Notamacropus eugenii: one gene and its partners. The protein of the gene in region 3 purifies or fractionates together with the protein of the main gene of each other region. This does not show direct contact. Links are inferred from orthologs where the notes say so. Each region holds a gene or a part of one and is shown on either strand. Other genes may lie near its edges.

Evidence for each region. Proteins that work in one complex are often made in the same cells at the same time.
Region 1: the proteins of KIF5B (region 3) and KLC2 fractionate together in Homo sapiens (co-fractionation; 7 studies listed by BioGRID and IntAct, with this or other methods). This does not show direct contact. The link is inferred for Notamacropus eugenii from reciprocal best matches to the Homo sapiens genes KIF5B and KLC2.
Region 2: the proteins of KIF5B (region 3) and KLC3 purify together in Homo sapiens (affinity purification with mass spectrometry; 3 studies listed by BioGRID and IntAct, with this or other methods). This does not show direct contact. The link is inferred for Notamacropus eugenii from reciprocal best matches to the Homo sapiens genes KIF5B and KLC3.

What each region holds. Positions count from the first base shown.
Region 1 is NC_092873.1:18,870,517-18,877,363, forward strand, and holds the start of KLC2 (kinesin light chain 2), read left to right. Parts: upstream 1-3,833; 5' UTR 3,834-3,962; coding exon 3,963-4,433; intron 4,434-4,531; coding exon 4,532-4,762; intron 4,763-4,950; coding exon 4,951-5,020; intron 5,021-5,269; coding exon 5,270-5,492; intron 5,493-6,073; coding exon 6,074-6,161; intron 6,162-6,262; coding exon 6,263-6,364; intron 6,365-6,463; coding exon 6,464-6,637; intron 6,638-6,745; coding exon 6,746-6,845; intron 6,846-6,847. UniProt on the Homo sapiens protein: Kinesin is a microtubule-associated force-producing protein that plays a role in organelle transport. The light chain functions in coupling of cargo to the heavy chain or in the modulation of its ATPase activity.
Region 2 is NC_092876.1:27,702,671-27,709,867, reverse strand, and holds the start of KLC3 (kinesin light chain 3), read right to left. Parts: upstream 3,015-7,197; coding exon 2,579-3,014; intron 1-2,578. UniProt on the Homo sapiens protein: Kinesin is a microtubule-associated force-producing protein that may play a role in organelle transport. Plays a role during spermiogenesis in the development of the sperm tail midpiece and in the normal function of spermatozoa.
Region 3 is NC_092874.1:72,367,384-72,374,589, reverse strand, and holds the start of KIF5B (kinesin-1 heavy chain), read left to right. Parts: upstream 1-4,184; 5' UTR 4,185-4,304; coding exon 4,305-4,430; intron 4,431-7,206. UniProt on the Homo sapiens protein: Microtubule-dependent motor required for normal distribution of mitochondria and lysosomes. Can induce formation of neurite-like membrane protrusions in non-neuronal cells in a ZFYVE27-dependent manner.

The DNA.
Region 1 (6,847 bases), on a different chromosome or scaffold from region 3:
ATCTTACTGTATTTATTACCTATTCAGTTATGAAAATTCCTTTTTCATACTATGGTTAAACATATTTGGAGATCATAAATTTAAGTGACGTAGACATCCTGAGTCGGAATTGTTCTAAAATGTATTTAAGTCTTCTCATTCTTTTTATCAGACAGATTTTATCTGGCTCTGTGCATGCATGTATTCTGCTAGCTTTAAGGGAATAAAATAACGTGAATTTATAAATCCCCTAGCCTGTTTGCCTCTTTTAACAAAACTTTCAGGTTGACAACACAAATATATATGTATATATGTGTATGTAAAATTTATAGATATATAACATGTTATATATATGTAAAATTATATATTATATATGTAAAATTATATGTTATATTATACATATTATGTATATGTAAAATTACTACATACTTGTATTTATCAGTTCTTTCTCTGGATGCAGATAGCATCTCCCTTCACGTGTCCTCTGTAGCTAATTTGGGTACTCATAATGGTGGAATACAATGATAAAAATGAAACAGTCCCTGGCCTCAAGAAGTTTACATTCTCTCAAGGGAGACCTCCATATGTAAATATATATGAAATGCATCCAAAATACAAACAAAGTAGTTTTGGAGGAGGGGAGAGCCAGCAGCTAGGGGTGTCAAGAAAGGATTCAAGAGGAAAATGGCACTTGTGTTGAGTCTTGAAAGTAAGGGATTCTCAGAAGCAGAGGTGAGGAGAAAGGGCATTCCAGGCATGGGGACCAGCCAGTGTAAAAGCCTAGAAACAGGAGATGGAGGATAGCATCCAGTTTGGCTGCTGGTAGTATAGGAGGGAGAGCAATATCCAGGATGACATGGGCTAGGGTCAGACTGTGAAGGACTTAAAAAGAAAAACAGAGGTTTTTCTATTTTATCTTAGATCAACAGGAAACTACTCCTAGTGTAGAGCGTGGAGGAGTCACATGAGCAGATCTCTGCAGAAGGAATATCCCTTGGGCAGCTTTGTGGAAGACACATTTGGGTGGGGGGAGACTAGAGGCCATTGTCATAGTTGTGGAGAAGAGATATGGGCCTAAGCTAAAATGGGGGCTTGTGGATACCAAGAAACAGTCAGTAATGAGGGATTGCATGGTGAGAGAAACAAGATTTGGGTTCAAACCCAGGAGAATAGAACTGAGACAATGCCCTCAACAGAAATTTGTGTTGCTGTTCAATGATTCAGGTGAGTCCCTTCTTGACCCTATGGCCCATAGCATGGCACAAATTGGAAAGTGACAAATCAGGGTAAGTTTGAAGGAAAAGATGAGTTCTCTTTTGGATATTCTGAATTTGAGTTACAAGGACATCCACTTGGAAATGCCCAAAAGGCAGTTGGTGATGCAGCATTGAGACTCAGGGCACTGTGACTTGGACATATAGATTTGGGCATCGCCTGTATAAAGACAATAATTAAACCGTGGGAGCTGATGAGGACCAAGAAGAGGACTAAGGGATAGAGGAGCAGCTACGAGTCAGGAATACTAGCTGTGTGACCCTGGGTAAATCATTTCATCCTGCATGCCTCAGTTTACTCATCTGTAAAATAAGCTGGAGAAGGAAATGGCAAACCACTGCAGCATCTTTGCCAAAAACCAAATCTATAGAGGGTCACAGAGAGTTGGACACAACTAAATCACAAATCCCTCTATTTCCTCCCAACTTCCAACGTCCTGCTCTAACGCCTCATCTTGGAGTGCTTCTATAAGTCTATGGCATTCTGTTGTGTTCCAAAGGCTTCAAGACCAATCCCAGTATTTACCACTTTTTTGGCTTTCTGAGGATCGGCCCAAGCGCAAGGCAGGGAGGGGGTCATCACCACCAGATTGCGTCCTTGATGAGTTCTTTGACTGTGACTAAAACCCGGGCAACCAGGAAAGGCACAAAAGAGCCTTGGGTCCTGTAAGCCAGCACTTGAAAAGTGATGGTGCAGGGAAGAGAAAGGGCGGCGGAAGGGGCTGGGGATCCCAGTTCTTGGGCAATCTGGAAGTCTTAGCTCAGTCATCAGTCCTTCAAATGTAAGCCATTTAAGGTGAGTCCCAGAAGATGGCTAGGTATGGATGGAGTGTGGCCTTCAAGACTTTTTGATTCGATTACCCAATGTATACAGTTAAAAACTGTAAAAATGTCAGGTATCACCATCTTGTTACATTCTGGTTTGTGCGCATGTAAGTCTTCTGCCCCCAGGATTACAAAGTATCTTATCCCCTGGGGAAAGGTTGCAGAATGACAGACAGAGAGCCTTTATTCCCTTTTTTCCGTGAAGGGACATGTACAAATATACCCCGGTGCCCGCTGTCTCTCCGAACAGCTCGGTGCTTCCATAGTGCGTGTGGATTGATTGGAGCTGAAACAACAGAACCTAGAACCGCAACTGGAGGAAAAGAAGTCTTCAAGACGCGGATGAGTGAAAGAGATGCAGCAGAACGGGGCAGAGGCCGGGCCGGGCCGGGCGGCGCCCGAATTCCACTAAGGGGGAGGCGGGGGACTGGGAACTTGGGCTTCCGAACCGACTCCGCGATGCCCGGTCCGTGTGAGTGCGGGATCTGGCACTGAGCCCCGCCAGGCGCAGGCAAGCTCCCGCCCAGGACGCCTAGAGCAGCCCTGATCCGCGGGGAGCCCGGCGGACTGAGCCGGTGGAGCGGGGCCCCGCCGTGACGCGGCAAAGCCGCGGGTCCCAGGAGGAAGGACCGAAGCAGCCCCGGGGACGTTGGCCGGTTTATGGCGGACCAAGGCGGGGAGAAGTGGTAGGGCAAGTGTGTCGTGACTCTGCCTCCGCCCCGGGATCGGCCGCGGCGCCCGCAGAGAGACCTGAGAAACGCCACGTCTGGAGGCAAGAGAACACCTGCAGGTGCAACCTCACCCCAGGAGAGTTCGGGCCTGCTGGTCAACCAGGGGGAGTAACGGTCGGGGAGCGCGTGCGTTCGGTTGTGGGACCAGACGACGAGAGGCTGAGCAAGGTGGGGATGGAGGGACGAGAGGAGGGAGGAAACGGAGGGGATGGAGGGGATGGAGGGGATGGAGGGGTGGGGGGATGGAGAGGATGGAGGGGTGGGGGGATGGAGGGGTGGGGGGTAGGGAGGAAACTGACGGGATGGAGGAGATGGAGGGAAGAGGGGTGGGGGGATGGGGGATGGGGGATGGAGGGGTGGAGAAGGAAGGAGGGCTGGGGAGTTTGGGAGTGTAAATGGGGAACACCTCGGAGCAACCCCGCTCTTGTTTCTCAGCAAATCCCATCCTTCCGCCTGGGGCCAGGGGTGCCCCTTCCCACCCCTCCCCTCCCCCCCCACCCTTCCCTTCCCCTCCCCCGCTCTCCTCTTCCCCTCCCCCGCTGGTCTTCCCCTTTAAGGCGGCGGGGGAGGGGGCAGCACCCTCCCCTTCCCTTTAAGGCCCGCGGCGGCGGCGATCGCGCAGGCGCGTGGGTGGGCGCGGGGGCTGCCGGGAGAGGCGGCGATGGAGGCTGCGCGGGCCGTGCGGGGCAGCTGAGGCCGAGGAGGCCGGGCCGGGGCCGGGCCAGAGCTGGGGTTGGGGCCGGGGTGCGCAGGTGAGCGGGGGCAGGGCGGGGCGTCGTTCCGGAGAGAGGACGGGGGACCGGGAGCTCCTCCCGCCTGTGCCTCGGGCGCCCCCTGCGGGGCGGGGGGCTCCCCGCTCTGGCCCGGGGCACCCCTCGGGGAACCGGCAGGGACCGGTCCGGGGCATCTCCGGGGGAGGCGGAGCTCCCCTCTATTACGGGGTGCCCCGGGGGAAGGTCTACACTAGGAATAACTCCACACCTGCTACAAGTTGTCTGCCGTCTAGAGGGAAGGGGTGGGAGTGGAGATCACTCACAAGAAGGGCCTTCATCCCTAGGGGATGGACCAGGCAGGTCGGTGTGGTCCCTAGGGCCCAACTGGACCGGGGATAGGCCCCCATACAGCCCCAACCATCGGGGGGCTCCTCCCCCCCATGCTCCCTCCTCAGGGTCCCGGGGTGGGGGCTAAGAGGCCGAGTCCCCACCGCATTGCGTCTGGGAGGGAGAGCGGCCGCTGGAGACGCCCCCTGGAGGCCGCTGCAGGAAGTCCGGCCGAGCCACAGGCAGGACCCCCCTCCCGGCTGGGAGCCCCCCAGGCTGTCAGAGCCCCAGAGTTCTCGTCCTCCCCCTGCAGGGGCCTCCTCCCAAACCCGAACCCTCCGACCATGTCCACCCTGGTGATGTCTCGGGAGGAGAAGCCGAGCCAGGATGAGATCGTGCTGGGCACCAAGGCGGTCATCCAGGGGCTGGAGACCCTGAGGGGCGAGCACCGCGCCCTGCTGGCCTCCCTGCTGGAGAATGTGGCCGGGCGGGAGGCCGGCGAAGCCGAGCCCGGAGCCCAGGAGCGCTCGGGACTCCTGCGCCGATCTCTGGAGGCCATCGAGCTGGGACTCGGAGAGGCTCAGGTACCCGGGGGCCTGGGTCTGGGGGAGGCGGGGCCAGGAGTCCAGTGCCCCTCCCCCGGGCCCCCCTTCAGCCTTCTCTCCTGGCCGAGGGGCCGTAGGTGATTCTGGCACTGTCGGGCCACCTTGGGGCCGTGGAGTCAGAGAAGCAGAAGCTCCGGGCTCAGGTGCGCCGCTTGGTGCAGGAGAACCAGTGGCTCCGGGAGGAGCTGGCCGGGACCCAGCAGAAGCTGCAGCGCAGCGAGCAGGCCGTGGTCCAGCTGGAGGAGGAGAAGCAGCACCTGCTGTTCATGAGCCAGATCCGGAAGCTGGACGACGACCCTTCTGCCAACGTGAGCCCGGACCCTCCTCCGGCTGAGTGGGCTCCCTTTTCCTGGCACCCCTCTCCCGCCCCACACATAACCTACTCAGGGGCTCCCGCCCACAGGGCCGACTCTGGATCCCCTCCCTTCAGACCCTCCTCCACTGCTTTTCTCCCTTGTGTGATTTTTTTCTTTCGGGTTGCTGATTCATCCCTCAGGAGGAGAAGGGGGATGCTTCCAAGGATTCTCTGGATGACCTGTTCCCTAATGAGGATGAACAGAACCCAGGTAGGGAGATGGGGAGAAGTGGATCTCTTAACTTTGGGCCCTGTGACTGGTCAGGAGGTCTCAGTCCATGAGGGTGACCACATATATGCTTCTCAGAAGCAAGGGGGAGGAGTGTGTGACTGCATTGCCTGAGGACCCAGAAGTATGCAGATAAGGGGGAACCTCCCAAGACTCCCAAGTATGTGCTGCTGACTCTGTCCCAACCCCAGAAGGCCCTGGGGCCACCTCTGAACTCCTGCCTTCCTCCAGCTCAGGGCTCTGGGGCCGGAGATGCAAGCACCCAGCACGGAGGCTATGAGATTCCAGCCCGGCTTCGGACCTTGCACAATCTGGTGATTCAGTATGCCTCCCAGGGGCGCTATGAGGTCGCTGTCCCCCTCTGTAAGCAGGCCCTGGAGGATCTGGAGAAGACCTCAGGGCATGACCACCCCGATGTGGCCACCATGCTGAACATCTTGGCTCTTGTATACCGGTAAGGGGACGTCTGGACCTTGGGGAAGGGGCAGCTAGGTGGTGAGGGGAATAGTGTACCGGACCTGGAGTCAGGAAAACTCCATGAGTTCAAATCTAGCCTCAGCCATGTGGCTCTGGGCAAGTCACTTCACCCTGTTTGCCTCAGTTTCCTCACCTGTAAAATGAGCCGGAGAAAGAAATGGCAAACCACTCCAGTGTCTCTGCCCAAAAAAAACTCAAGTAGGGGCATGAAGGGTCAGGCAAGACTGGAAAATGACTAAATGAGAGGCAGCCTTGGATTCTGTACAAAGTAGGCTCTCCATAGGATTGACCCTACCCCAGGTGAAGAAAGGAGGGGCCGGTGTAGGTGTATGAACCTAGAAAACCCACACTGGTGCCTGAAAGCCCCTCATTGGCTCATCACTCCTCTGAGGTCAGCCTTCCTCCCCTCGAAGCCCCTCACAGAAGCTGAAAATCTCCCTGTGGCCCAGCAGGCAGAGTCCTGGCTCAAACTGGCAGCAGCCTCATTTTATAGATGGGGAGCAGGAAGTTGACCAGCAGTCCTTCCCCTGCCCCTCCCCCACCTCCTTGTCTTCTCAGTGATCAAAATAAATACAAAGAAGCTGCCCACCTGCTCAATGACGCTCTAGCCATCAGAGAGAAGACCTTGGGCAAGGACCATCCAGCTGTGAGTGAGGCCCGGCTCCCTGGGCTGGGGGTGTGGGGCGAAGAGGACCCTTGGCTGGCCAGGCCTCTGCAGCCGTTTTCCTCTCTTTGCCCTGGACCCAGGTGGCAGCTACCTTGAACAACCTGGCGGTTCTGTATGGCAAAAGGGGCAAGTACAGAGAAGCAGAGCCCTTGTGCAAACGAGCCCTGGAGATTCGAGAGAAGGTAGAACCCATCTGGGGGCCCCTGTCTCCCTGGGCCTGGGGGAGGAGCTGGGGGGGGTGCGTCAGGGCACAAGTGAAAGGAGCCTCCACCTTCTCCTAGGTGCTGGGCAAGTTCCACCCGGATGTGGCCAAGCAGCTGAACAACCTGGCCCTCCTCTGTCAGAACCAGGGCAAGGCCGAGGAGGTGGAGTACTACTACCGGCGTGCTCTGGAGATCTATGAGGCTCGGCTGGGTCCTGATGACCCCAACGTGGCCAAGACCAAGAATAACTTGGTGCCTGATCCAAGGGAGGCACTGGGGAGGGACAGCCAGGGCGCACTGTGGGCCCAGCATGGTAGGGCGGCTGGGGCCTCACTGTCTCCCTGTCTCCCCCTTCCTCAGGCCTCTTGCTATCTGAAGCAGGGGAAATACCAAGATGCAGAAACCCTGTATAAAGAGATCCTGACTCGTGCCCATGAGAAGGAATTTGGCTCAGTCAATGGC
Region 2 (7,197 bases), on a different chromosome or scaffold from region 3:
AGAGAATATCACAGTGGGGAGAGAATATAGAACAAAAGAAACTCCCTGGTATAATCACTGAGCTTGGAGTCAGAAAAACCTAGGTTTAAATGCTTCCTCAGGCAACTTGCTAGCTGTAAGACTCTGGATTGGTCACTTTATTATTCTCGACTTCCATCTCCCCTCTCTGAAATGGGGATGCTTAGAGTACCTGTCTTCCAAGGATTCAGTGAGACAGAGCATGTAAAGTGTTTAAAGCAATATATATAAATGCCAGCTTTTGTTAACAAAGAATAAAAACATGATAAACTTCAGAGCTGGAACAGATTGGAGACTGTAACTCCACTTCTACAGAGGAGAGAGGCTGGGAGAGGGAAGTGATATGTCCAAAGTAACACACTGGGTTCACGGGACTAGCCCCCCAGATCATTTTGTACCTTTCTATTGCCAGGGCTCAACACAGTTTCCTTGTATACAAGAGGTGCTGTATAAATGCTTGTTTTTCCTTTCTTTCCCCTCCTAGGGTGCTTAATAGATGCTTGGTGAATGGAAATGACTCCTGACCAGTTCTGCATTGTTGCAGAGGGTTGCTTGGGTGTGTGTGTGCTGGGGTGGGGTGGGGGTGTGTGTCTGGTGAAGCTTCTTCCCCATGACCTCATCCCTGCCGCCTTCTTGTGCTGGGAACCAGTCTGACAGCTGCCTCGGCAAGGGTGGGGAAGACCAGAGCAGAGAGATCAGTGGTGCCTGGTGGGAGTGTGAGAGAAACTTGAAGAAACCTACTTCATCACTTAGAGGTCATCCCTGTGGTCTAGGGAAAGGAGGACAAGCATGCCCCGCCATGGGGACAGCTGGCTTTATGTCTCTTCCCCAGTCACTCCCCAGCCAGGATGTGGGTGGACACCATCCAGCTTCTTAGACAGGCCAAGCAGGATGGCTTTGGGCATGTAGAGACAGACACAGATGTCCATATCAGGCGTGGCCCCTATGTGTTGGATGGGTACGCAGGTGGTCGGCCACCTCACCAAGGGTGACCCCTACTGTAGCTGAGTTCATATGCATCCCAGATCATAGAGTAGATCTGGGTTCTAGGGCCAGTCCTAACTAACTCACCAAATAACCCTGTGCAAGGCCCTTCTTCATGGTCCTCAGTGTCCTTATCTGTAAAATTAGAGGGTTGAACTTGGCTGGTCTCTAGATTGCCATAGTCTGACATCTTTGGAAAGGGCCAAAGAATATAGGATGCCATTGCTAAAAGAGACCTTAAAGCACAGAATGCCAGACCAAGGAGGGCCCTTAGAAAAAACAGATTCAGAACTTGGAGGGACCTTAAAAAGTGGAGTAAGAACAAGAGACCTTAGGAGAACCAAGTGAACTTCCAAACTGGAAGGGACCACAAACAGATGATGTCTGAGTTTTGCCCTTGGAGACAGTTTTCTTCCCCAGAAGAAAATCTCACAGGGTTACACACTGCCTCCATACCTTACACACACCTTTCCAACATGGACCCGGCCTGCCTGCACTGCCTTCTGGATTCCACATAGCTTGGTATACACTCTTCCACCCTCATCTGGCTATGTATGGCTCTGCTCCTAGAACCCTGACTCCCACACACCACTTTGCAGAATTTAGGGTTTCGGGACTGCGATAGACTTTCAGTCATGCATCAACATCCTCCCCCAGTCCTACCCCTGGCTTTTTTTTTTTTTCATTAGATAAGAGAAACCTAGAGAAGGGATTGGACAGGCAACCAGGTCAGTGCTGCCCGGTCAGGATGGGCACCAAGTTCTGTGGACTCCCCGGTCAGACCCACGTTGTTGTTTGTCACCTAGACCATCCCTCCTCTGAGCCGACCCACAATCACAGCTCCACACACAGAGAGGTTCATGGTCCCCAGTTCGCATCCCCCCAACACCCACCAGTCGCTAGGTCAACTCACTCGGAGGCCCCAGTCCTACCACACCGGCAAGCACTGGCCCCGCCCCACCCCGCCCTGGCTCCTGTTTACCTGTGCGGAGGGGGAGGGACGGCAAGTGTATGCATGTGGGGGGATCTGAGTTTGGAATCCTGGGGGGGAGGGGGCGGGACTAGGGGAGCCAGGGACACCCTTGTGGTGAAAGTAGCAGGATTGAGGAGGAAGGAGATGAACGGAGAGTGGGATGGATGGTGTATGGTTACGGTGGGGGTGATGGAGGGAGGAGGATGGAGGAAGAGAAAGAGGGGGATAAAGGGAAGAAAAGGGAAGGGTAATGTAGGGAGGGGAACAGAGGAAGGAAAAGAGGGGGAAGGGGCAATAGAGGGAAGGGACAGAAAGATAGAAAAAGGGAGGAGGTACAGAGGGAAGGAAAGAGGGGTTATGGAGGGAAGGGAATGGAAGGAGGCAAAGAGGGTGGAGGGAGCCCTGGAGGGAGGGGGACAGAGGGAGGCAGGGAGGTGGAGGGGGCCCTGGAGAGAGTATTGGGGATGCAAGGGGATGGAGGGGGCCCTGGAGGGACTACTGGAGGAGGCAGGAGGGTGGAAGGGACCTTGGAGGGAGGCTAGGGGTGTGGGGAGCCGGAGCCGGGAGTGCCCTGGGCCCCCATCCGCTGGGCCGCTTCGCTACCTGTCTGCACTCCGTTCTCCCCGGAGCTCCCGCTCCCGCTCCAGCTCCAGTCCGTGCTGTCGCTCTCACTGTCGCTGTCCCTGTCGCTGTCGCTGTCGCTAGGGCTCGCTCCGCAGCTGCCGCCTCCCCAGCCTTCTCCTGGGAGCCTGCTGGAGGGCTCCGAGGAGGCTCCGGGGGAGGCGGGGCCGAAGCCAGGATTAGGGAGGGGAGGGGCCGCCCTGCTCCCTGCAGGTGAGGTTCTACCCGTGGTGCTCTGTGGGCGCAGTTGGGGGTGGGGAGCCCTGAATGGGGGAGCCGTGACGTCAGAGACGCTTCTAAAGCACTTTCTTCCGAGTCGCGGAGCTGCGGCCGGCGCTTGGGTCTGGGTCGTCCGCTTGGGGCAGTCCGAATGCGGCAGGCCGGGAGACAGCTCACTCCCCATGTGGACAGATCTCATTGTTGAACAATAAAGTTTAAAAAAGGCTTTGCTGACGTCTGGATACAGCTGCCCCATGAGCAGCCAAAAGGCAGGCAGACTAGGCTCGATGTCCCAAGCTTCCCACCAGGGAGAGCCGTCCCCTAGGGGAGTGGGCAGCCCCTACTTCGAGGGGATCTCCAAGCCGAAATTGGAGGACTGCTGCTCGAGGATATCATTCAAGGGTTCCTACTGGATGGAAGCTGAACTGGCTGCTCGCCGAAATCTCTTCCATCTCTTAACCTTTGTGATTCTGTGAACTCCCACCGCCCCCTGCCCCCTGTTCCGCCCCCATGGGCTAATCTCTTGGCCATAGGACAATCCTTTAGATTCTTGGGGAAAGCTACCAGGTAACTCCCTGAGTCTCCTCTTCCCCAGTTCCTCCGACCCCTCCTTATATGACATGAACTCAAGATCCTCGACCGTTCTCGTTGCCCTCCTCTTGATGTTGTTCAATCGTGTTCGATTCTCCGTGACTTCATCTTCGGTTTTCTTGAAAGAGATACTGCAGTTTCTTTCTTCAACTCCTTTGACAGGTGAGGAAACTAAGGCAAACAGGGTGAAGTGACTTGCCCAAGGTCACACAGCTAGTAAGTGTCTGAGGCTGGATTTGAACTCAGGAAGATGAGTCTTCCTGATTCCAAGCCTGGAACTCTACGCATTGTACCACTCAACTGTCCCTCTCTTCTGGATACTCTCCATCTAATCAACACCCTTCCTAAAATGTGTACCCAGAACCGAACACAATATTCCAGGTGTGGATATGATCAGGGCCTGACTACAGTCACCTCCCTAATTCTATACAATTATTAAAAATTTACTTTTGAAAATTTCATTGGTGAAGGGACCTCCTAGTCCTGTAATTGCTTCTCTGCTAGTAAATATGAATTAGCAGCAGCTCCACAATTTCTAATTCTGGAGAGTCATCTAGGACACTAGACTTGCACAGGGTCACAGTCCATATATATCAAAGGCAAGACTTGAAACCAGGTCTTCCTGCCTGGGGTTGGCTCTCCAAGAAATGAAGCTTCCTCAATAGCTCATGAATGGAAAGTCCAGGGTATACTATGCTTATCTGAAAGGAACCTAAGACTGCATTAACTTTTCTTGCTGCTAGTCCACATTGTTTAGAGGTCTTACAAACCACTAAGACACTCCCCCCCACTTCTTTTTCAGAACTGATATCTAGACACACTTCTCCCATCTTGTGCTTGAAAAGTTGATTTTTTTAAAGCCCAAGTGTTGACTTTTATTTTTTAATCCCTATAGAATTTTCCTTCACAATATCCCTACTCCTTAGAACTTTAGAGTTATAGATTCCTAACTGAATTCATCAAATGATAATTTTTAAGCACCTGCTCTGTGAAAAATGCCAGGAATGTCGGCTGTTGGGGCTATAAAGATAATAATAAAAAGTAATTCTTGCCTTCAAAGAGCTCACATTCTACTGGAGGATGCAATAACAGCAAAAAATAAAAATAAGAAGGTTAATAACAATATTTACATAGTTTCTTATATACATTATCTCATTTGAGTCTCGTAGCAACTCTGCAAGGTAAGCAAATAAAAGAAGAATTAATACTGACCCTCTCCTACTGTTTTTGTTTTTGTTTTTCTTTTTATGGTCATAGAAGCTGAGTTAAGAGAGTGTGACTTTTTCATAGTGACGTAGTTGGTAAATGTCAGAGGCAGGATATGAACTCAGATCTTCCTGACTCCAAGTTCAGTACTATATTCACTAGACTATTCTAGCCTATCTCCCTGGAAACAGATAACTAAATACATGATCAGCTGAAAAGGGGAGAAAATACCAACAAATAGGAATATCAGGAAAGGTTTTGAGCAGAGGATGGCAACTGAACTATATGGTGAGGAGGGAGTACATTTCAGGCAATCAGAATGACCTATGCAAAGATATGGAGGCGGGAAATGGAATGGCTAGAATTTGACTAGAAATCTAAACTTGTGAAGGGAAGTAAAATGAAATGTCTGAAAAGGTAGGTGGAAGCAGACTGCAAAGGACTTTAAAGGCCTGAGGAAATTGTATTTTATATTATATTTTATAATTATATTTTATATTAGAAGGGATAGAAAATCTTGAGAAGGGAAGTGTTATTGTTGGGATTCTGTTGTAGTAGATCAGTTTGGCATCTATGTGGAGCATAATTGCAAAGAAGAGAGACTACAAGCAAGGAAGCCAAGAAAGCTATTTTGTTGGAATCCATGAAAGGAGATTAGAACTCAAGCCTGAGTAGTGGTCATGGGCCTGAAGAGAAAGGGATAAATGTGAGAGATGTTTTAAGAGAGAAAAAGATGTCAAGAGAAACTAATTAATCAATAGATCAATTAATCAATTGACATTTATTAAGTTCCTACTATGTGCCAGGCACTGTGTTAAATACTGGTGATACAAAAAAAGGCAAAAGATAGTCCTTGCCCTCAAGGAGCTTAGAATATTGATTAAATATAGGGGGATGAGGGAAAAGGAAGGCGTCAAAGATGACTCCAAGGTTTTGATGTTTTTCTTAAATTATTTCCTGCATGAGGGTATTCAAGAATGTTTGATTTTTCATGTTCTTCTGGGAGAATTTTCATCCTTAAACAATCCCTATGCAGCTTATCTTCAAAGTCAGCCACTTGGGCTTGTATAGGGTTCATGTGTTCTTGTAACATTATTGCCTTTTGCTTCTTTTCTGTGGAATTTCTGTCCACTTAATGTATTTATTTGCATTCCAAATTCTTGTTCTTTATCATGTATTCAATTTTTCTTACTCTATTTGTGTTTTTTAATTCTGCATTGGGAGCTTTGAATTCTGTCCTAATTTCATTCATAATTTCCGCTTTTAAAAGTTGTATTTTTCTTCTGAACCATTCTGGAGTTTCTTGCTATCATCTCATGATTTCTGGAAGAGCCTCTCTTTCATTAGGTAACACTCGTCCATTTATCATCATATTATAATATTTGTTCCAAGAGTTTTGGTTTCTTTTTTGAGGTTTACTCCTTCCTTCTATAAATATTATGTTCTCTTGTAGTTTATCTGTTTGGGGGCTGGAATTTTTTTCAGTCTTTCTCAGTTACTCTTGGGTATTTCAATTGTCCTCTTTTCCACCTACCTTCAGGAATCTAAATCACTTTACTTCTCACCCTTGCACAGATAGACCTCCCAAGGTAGCCCCAGTAGCACCTTGAGTTGGGAGATGTGGGAGTCAGCAGGGCCTTGAGAGAAATCTAGGAGAAGACTGGTCCTGAGTGGGTTTCTGTTTCTCTTAAATCAATATTCCCCTCCAGTCTGTGACACTGATCCTCATGGTTTGATTTCTACCTTCATAGTGTTTTATGTTCCATCAAGCCTTCTCCTTTAAGTGGCTGGGTAGAATTAGTGTCTGCTACTTCTTGTGGGGCCAGTGGGATTTGGGTAAGATTACTGCTCTGTGAGGTTCCTGAATCACAAGTCCTTGGTTGTACCTACTTTGATAGGTGCCTGGAGTTAGATGTGATTAAGGACAGGATGACTCATCCTGATGAATATTTGGTGGCTGGATTCAGATAGCTCTGGAGGAAAGTGAGGCTGCTGACCTGCACAGCCCTCCTTCACTCAAAACAAAGTCAAGTGCAAGTCATGTCATTATTTCTCTGGTGGCATGGTCTTCTTCAGCAACGAAGGATGAACACACAAGGATAGGAAATGAAAACTCTCTGTTAACATTTTCTGTTAATGACATTTTTACCTTACTTATGGAGGTTCTGTCTTCTTATCTTTAGGACAGAAATTAAAGCTCCTGATGCAGAACTAAATCTTCTTAAATACTAAGCTGTATTTACTCATTTCTTGGGCAGAGTTTCTTTCTTCTGAGGTTCTCAGGTTGGAAAAGTTTGTAGATTGCAACTCTCTGGTCATCTTGCTGGTCTCACTGAGATTTTGAACCTGGGTGACAGGAAAGTTGGTGGTGCTTTCCCCATAGAAATAAGGGTTTTGAGGAGTGATTTTGAGGTGGAATTAATTCATTGGGGGGGGGGGATATTCTGAATTTGATATATAGGTAGGGATGTCCAGAAGAAGGTTGGTCATGTGAGAGTGATGTCCAGGGGGAAGATAAAATCTGAATGTAGTCATTGGGAGTCATCTTCATTAGGAATTTCCAATCATTTTTTAGTCTCCAGACC
Region 3 (7,206 bases):
TTTATTAATTTAGTGGGAAACTTTTTAAAAACTCATTTTACTTTATGCCTCTAGCCCACTTGAAGAAGTGTGTTCCATATATTTATTATTCCACAGCACGGCCTAGTGAATAGAGAGCATTTGGAAAACCTGGGCTTAAATCTTGGCTCTGACGTAGCTTTACTAGATACATAATATAGGCAAATTACTTAATCTCTTTGACCCTGTAACTTCATCTGTACAACGGGAATAAAACCCACAGCACTTAGCTTACAGAGTTGTTATTGTAAGGATCAAGTGTATATACACGTATGTGTAGTGCTTATTATCTGTGCTAACTCATCCCCCTTTTTCTTTATCTACATTTCTTTGGCAATCATCTTCATTTTACCTGCAGTGGTAGTGGTGTGGGGAGGAGGGCAGGGGGAGGCAACTCTCTTTTTGCTTCCTTTTGGTCTTCTTTCATCCCCAATCTGGGCCTTTCTGACACTTTCCCCTAGGACTGGAACGTAATGCCACAAAATCTCCAATCCTTTCTTTGCTCCGGAAATCAGAACCTGATAAAGGGATGCTTCAACTCTCCCTCTCCTTACTCAGAAAGGAAACATTTCTTTTGTACAGTCTTTGATTTAAATAAACTATTAAAAAAAAGTGATGCTAACTGGAAGTGGCCCCTAAACAGAAAGTTATGTGACTGGCTCAACCACCAGAAAGAAATGAATGACAGAGATCTTTCTTGTGACCGGCTGCCCCCTCCATTAATAATAACAATAACTAACACTTATGTAGCACTTTAAAATCTGCCTTGGGTCACGCCTACCGCTGACCACCTTTACTCTCACACACATGCTGCTGAGTGAAGATGGGAAAAAACAGACAACTATTCTGTATCTGCTACAAATTTGTTATATAACCTCATTTGGGCCCTCACTGCTGCTAGGCAATCCTACTATATCCCCTTATCAACTCACTATCTCACTCTCCACAGCAGGTTTTCCAAATTATTTTTAGATCTCCTCAAAGCTCAAAGAGTCCTCCCTCCCCCCACTGTCTCAGATGAGAACTTTGCCTCACATTTTATAGAAAGAATAGAGGCCATTTACCATGAGCTCCCCTTTCCTCATATCATCACTCAGATGCCTTCCGCCATCATCTCCTCCTTCACTCCTGTCTCACATGATGAAGTGGTCTTACCTCTACAAAAAGGCTAACCCCTCTATTTGTCTGAGCAATCTTATTCCTTCCCTTTTCCTCCAACAGACTACCCCGTTCCGTCATCCTCACTGTCTCACTTCTTTTCAATCTTTCCCTGTGTATTGGTTCATTCCCTACTGACTACAAACATGGCCATATTCTCCCTCATCTGAAAAGCCCTGTTGACCCTTTCATCCCTGCTATCGTCATAAATATATATTATTTATATATAAAAAACCTGTTGGCCTTTTCATCCCTGTTATCATCATAAATAAATGTGTTATTTATGTATACATTTTTGCTTCTTGAAAAGGCCACCTACAATCAGTGCCTCCACTCTCTCCTCTCATTTTCTACTTATTCCCTTACAATCTGGCTTTTAATCTTGTCATGCCACTGAAACGATTCTTTTCAAAGTTACTAATGATCTAGCCAGTTATCAAATCTTAGCAGCCTTTTCTCAACCTCCATTCTCTTTGTCTCTGCAGGCTCTGACACCTGTTGATCACTTTCTCTTCTCTCTAGGTTTTTGGAATGCCATTCTCTCCTGGTTCTCCTCCTACTTTTCTGACAGTCCATTCTCTGGACTCTCCTCCAGATCATTTCTTCTAACTCTTAAATGTCCCTCAAGGTTCCACCCAAGGCCCTCTTCTCTTCTCTTCTATACTGCTTCACTTGGTGACCTCATCAGCTCCCTTGAATTTAATTAGATCTCTAAGCTGGTGATTCTCAAATATACTTATTCTGCCACAACTTCTCTGCTGATCTCCCATCTCCAACAACCTTTCAGATATCTCAACCATATTTAATGTCAAGCCAACAAAGCAAATTCAATATATCCAAAACCACTATCTTTCACCTCCAAAACCCTCCCCTGCCTCCTACATGCCCTATTACTGTAGGGGACAAGACCACCCCTCCAGTCCCTCAGGCTCACAACCTAGAATCACCCTGGGCACCTCACATCTCTCAACCTGTATAACCAAGTTGTTGCCAAGATCTGTTGATTCCACCTTATAACATGTCTCAAACATGTCCCCTTCTCTCTTCTTTCACATGCTGACGCAGACCCCCAGCACCTCACATTTGGATAACTGCAATAGCTTGCAGGTCTATCTGGCTGCCTCAAGTCTTTCCCCACTACAATCTTTCCTCCATTCAGTCACTAGTGATTTTCCTAAAGCACAGGTCAGATCATATCACCCCCCTACTCAATAAATTCCACTGACTTTCTAAAGCCTTCAGGAACAAATATAAAATGCTCTGGTTGGCATTCAAAGACTCTCATAATCTACCCCTCTCCTAGCTCTCCAGACTTCTTACACCTTACTTCCCACCATATACTCTTCCATCTAGTAACACTGGCTTCCTGACTGTTCCACAAACAAGACATTCCATCTCTTGGCTCTGGGCATGCTCTCTGGCATTCCCATGCCTGGAATGTTCTCCCTCCCCATCTTCACCTGCTTAAGTCCCAACTAAAACCCCACTTTCTACAGGAAGCTTCCTGGAACCCCTCTTAATTCTAGAAAATGAGAGGAGAGAGTGGAGGCACTGATTGTAGGTGGCCTTTTCAAGAAGCAAAAATGTATACATAAATAACATATTTATTTATGATGATAACAGGGATGAAAAGGCCAACAGGTTTTTTATATATAAATAATATATATTTATGACGATAGCAGGGATGAAAGGGTCAACAGGGCTTTTCAGATGAGGGAGAATATGGCCATGTTTGTAGTCAGTAGGGAATGAACCAGTACACAGGGAAAGATTGAAATTCTATTTTCCCTGTATATAGTTTCTTTGTTACCTCTCCCATTAGACTGTGAGCTCCTCTAGAACAGAGATTGTCTTTTGCCTCTCTTTGTATCCCCAACCTTAGCACAGTGCCTGGTACATAGCAGATGCTTCATAAATGTTTATTGATTGGTATTTATTTTCCTTTGATTTGATCCTCACAACAACCCTGAGAGGTAGGTGCTATTATGTTCCCCCATCATATATTATTATATATTACTATGTTTCCCCACCATATTATGTTCAGATGAGGCAACTGAGACTTGAAAGAAGTTAAGTGACTTGTCCAGGATCACACAGCTAACAAATGTCGGAGTGAGGATTTAAATTTGTGTCTTCTTGAGTACAAGTTTAACTGTTCTAGCCACTGTCCCAGCTATTTTACTTATTCTTAAATAAAAAGTATTATTGGAAAAAAAATCAAATTTAAAAAGTTAAATTGTCATGAAAAGGTATTATTGGCAAAAAAAAAATTTTTTTAAGTTTAATTGTCCTAAAAAGGTATTACTGGTCAAAAAAATTAAATTTAAAAAGTTTGGCTGTCATAAAAAAGATACTATTGGTAAAAAAAAAAAATCAAAGTAAAATAAATGGTTCAGTTGAGTCATAAAAGTATGGTATTACTGACAAAAAAGCCAAACCAAACCAAAATCAGTAGCAGAGCCACACATTTCTGGGACATCCACAAGTCCTACTAGAAGCTGGCCCGGAAGAAAAGGGTCTACCAGTCGGTCAGGGCGAGGGGGAGGGAGCAGAGCAAAGGAGGGCGGCCGCTTCACGCCTGCGCCCTAGCCCCACCTTCCTCCCTCCCTCGCTTCCCGGGCTCACCGCCGCCCAGAGTGGGGCGGCTGCGCACTGGATACGGGCCGGGGCCGGGCGGGCAAGCAGTCCCAGAGCCGGGCGGGTGGGCCAGCAGAGCAGATCATAGCAGAGCGGACCTGGCCTGGGCTGAGCCAAGCCAAGCTCAGCCTGTCGTTCTGGGCTCCGGGAGGAGGCCACGATCCCAGTTTAACAGGACTTGCCTTGGTCTCCGCCGCTCCCTCTGCCCGGGGACGCTGCCGGACACGCCGGACGCTTTGCCGGTCGCCGCCGCTATGGCCGCCATATTGAATCGGAAGTGAGGCGGGAGGGGGCCGAGGCGGCTGCCGGCGCCGGCGCCGGAGGTTGGAGTTGCTCTTCCCGGCCGCCCCCGCCCCAGGGGAGCCCGGCCCGGCCCGGCGCGCGGCGAGGAGCGCAGCGGCTCCCCCGGCGGAGCGCGGCCCGGGTGGTCCCGGCGCCGAGGCTGAGCGGCGGGGAGGGGTTCCGGGCCTCGGGCCCCGGCCGCGAGGAAGATGGCGGACCCGGCCGAATGCAACATCAAGGTGATGTGCCGCTTCAGGCCGCTCAACGAGGCCGAGATGGCCCGGGGCGACAAGTATGTGGCCAAGTTCCAGGGCGAGGACACCGTCATCGTGGCGGTGAGTATCCTCCCTGTCCGGCCCCTCCTGGCGCGGGCTGGGGGGGGAGAGGGAGGCCGGGGTGCGGGGCGAGGGGCTCCACAGCCTCTCTGTCCCCAGTCTTCGCCACCCACGCCCTTTCCGGCTGGGACCCCGGAGTCCTGCGCCCCCGGGTCTAGGGGATTCGAGTTCCTCGCCCGATGCCCCTACTTGTTGGTCCCCGTAGGAAACTATGCCTGTCACTTTTCTTCGGGTCCTGCGGAGGGGGGAGGGGCTGGAAATGAACCTTCCAACTAGCTCTGGGGTCGGTCCCCTCCCGCACCGCCATCCGGACCCCTACACTTTTTGCTTCGTTTAGCGAAGGTAACGTGGTTAGCCATTTGTTCAGATGGCCAAAAAGAACGGGACGGACGGTTTTGTCGGTGTCGGCTGCCAGAATTTTTTAGACGAGAAATAGCTAAGTGATCTGAAACGGAGAGGTCCCTCCCCCCACCCCACCCCGAGTCTTTTTCCTCTTCGTCGAAAGTAAACTTAACCGAGTTTTAAATTTTCGTTTCACAAAGGTAATAATACTGTGGTGTTGTAGTTTGACCTGAAGGAAACTCTTCGCTAGAAGAAATTGACCAGTTAGCTCGACTTGGTTTTCATTTGATTAACTACATACTTGAAATACAATGTAGCCAAGCTGTCCCATGCAGCGAAGGCCTGCCACAAAGGAAGTTACAAAGTTACTTGGTGAAGGGAAGTAAGTTGAGCCCTATCTGCACAAAGATGCTCGTAGTGACTAAGCTTTCTCCCGAATCAGGCTAAGACATCCAAGTTGGTCTACAATAATAGTGCTGTGGACTAAATATTTAGGAATACTTTCAGCGTGCTTTCCACTATATGTGATGACCCTAACGTGGATAGTCAGATAGTGCCTACATTGAACTGGTAAAGACTTAATTCTTGTTTTCCTGATGGTCCCAGGGCGTTGTGTTATGCTAGTTAATTACTTTGTATTTTAACTTATTTTAATTTTAGCTACTGGCATTCCATATTTAATAACTCATTTGGGGCAGTTTAATTTAGAAGAAAAGTCAGAGTCATTTATAGAATTTGGAATAGTTGAGAAGTTTTGAAATCTTAAAATACATAGTAAAATGTTTTGTTTTATTTCCTTCTCTCCCCCCCTCCCCATATGATCTTCCCATATTCAACCTCAGAAAATCAATGACAGCTCTAAAATGGTAGCTTTTCAGTGTGGTTCTGGTCTTTGGCAAACAAAAGTTGACTAAATGCCAACAGATAATATGTTGAAGGACTTGATGTCAGTCCCATTCTTAGTTGATAGATCCTCAGATCAGAAGCTTTTGCTGCAAATTCAAAGAAATGAATAAGTATTGAGGCTGGACCAGGAGAAGTTACCTTCCAGAAAAGGACATTTATAGGATATATTACATGACAAATTATAACCTTTTTCCTTGTAAGGTTATTCTTCATATGTTATCTTTCAGAATTGTATTTGTTAATGTAAGTATTGATCCTAGAATTTGGTGTTCATAAGTGTAATAAATTTAAGTTGGAAATTTTCTTTACGTTAGCATATCAGACACACCTTGTGAAGAAAAAGAAGAAACTATTGAGTAATTGTCCCTACTAAGCATAGATGCCTTAGTATGTCATTTTTCAAGATTTCTTTGATATTAACAAATGGAAATAGGTTAGGCCAAAAAAGGTAGACAGGTGGGCGAATATGAATCAGTCATGAACAGTTGGAAAGATCTGGCATTTAGATAAACTAGGAAATAATTTAATTTTGTTTAAAAAAAATAGTACAAGGGATTGAAGAAATGCAAACGTAGCTTTGAGATTTGATTGCAAGAGCTTAAGAACTAAAGTGTTTATTATCAATATATTATATTAGTTCATGATTTAGAATGGCTTATTTTCCCTGGATATTCCTAGGGTTTTATTTTACTCAAGACCCAAGTCTTATATTTTTAGTGAATTCTAGTAAGAGGATTACTTTTTTAAAGTAGATAGTTAAATATTTTTGTTTCTTTACTTCAGTTTTCTCTAAAAGTAACCATTAGTTTGCCATAATCATTTTCCTGAATCATACTGAATTATTCTTAAACATGTTTCCATTCAACTCAACTAAATAAATATTTATTAGTGAAAGGTACAGGGGTGGGGGAATACAAAGACAAAAAATGAAAGAACTCTTGTCCTTCTAAAGAGTTACATTCTTCTAGGAAGATTGGAATATTAGAGCAGTCTGAGTGCTACTATGGAAATTAATTTAAGAATCCTACTTTTCTTCAGCATTCATTTTCTATTACTCCATACTTAAATGCCGTCCCATGCCTTTCATAGATAAATGATTAATCTGCACACAAATCAATCTCATTTATAGTCAATTAGTCCCTCTGTAGCCCTTGCCTGTTTCCTGATTCATCATTCCAACAGATGCCAAACATGGAAGATAAGTTTGCTCAATAAATTTGATTAAAAAAAAAAATTCCAGGTAGTAGATAAAGTTTAATACCTGCATTGCCCTCTGAGTTTTAGGAAGATAAATGATTGTAGTTCACAGAATTAATATTATTTTGATTTTTGCCTTTGTGTTTGGAAAATAAAACTTGATCCCACACAGAAACAACTTGTTTAGTCATAGAGAGTTAAACTTGCTTAACTATCAATAAGAAAGACAATTCCTACCTGTTTGGACAACATTAAGATGGAGGAGCATGCTAGTTTGCATCACTTTAAGTGCCTTTGCTGTATAGGAGAAACTAGGCATGTAGACATAGAG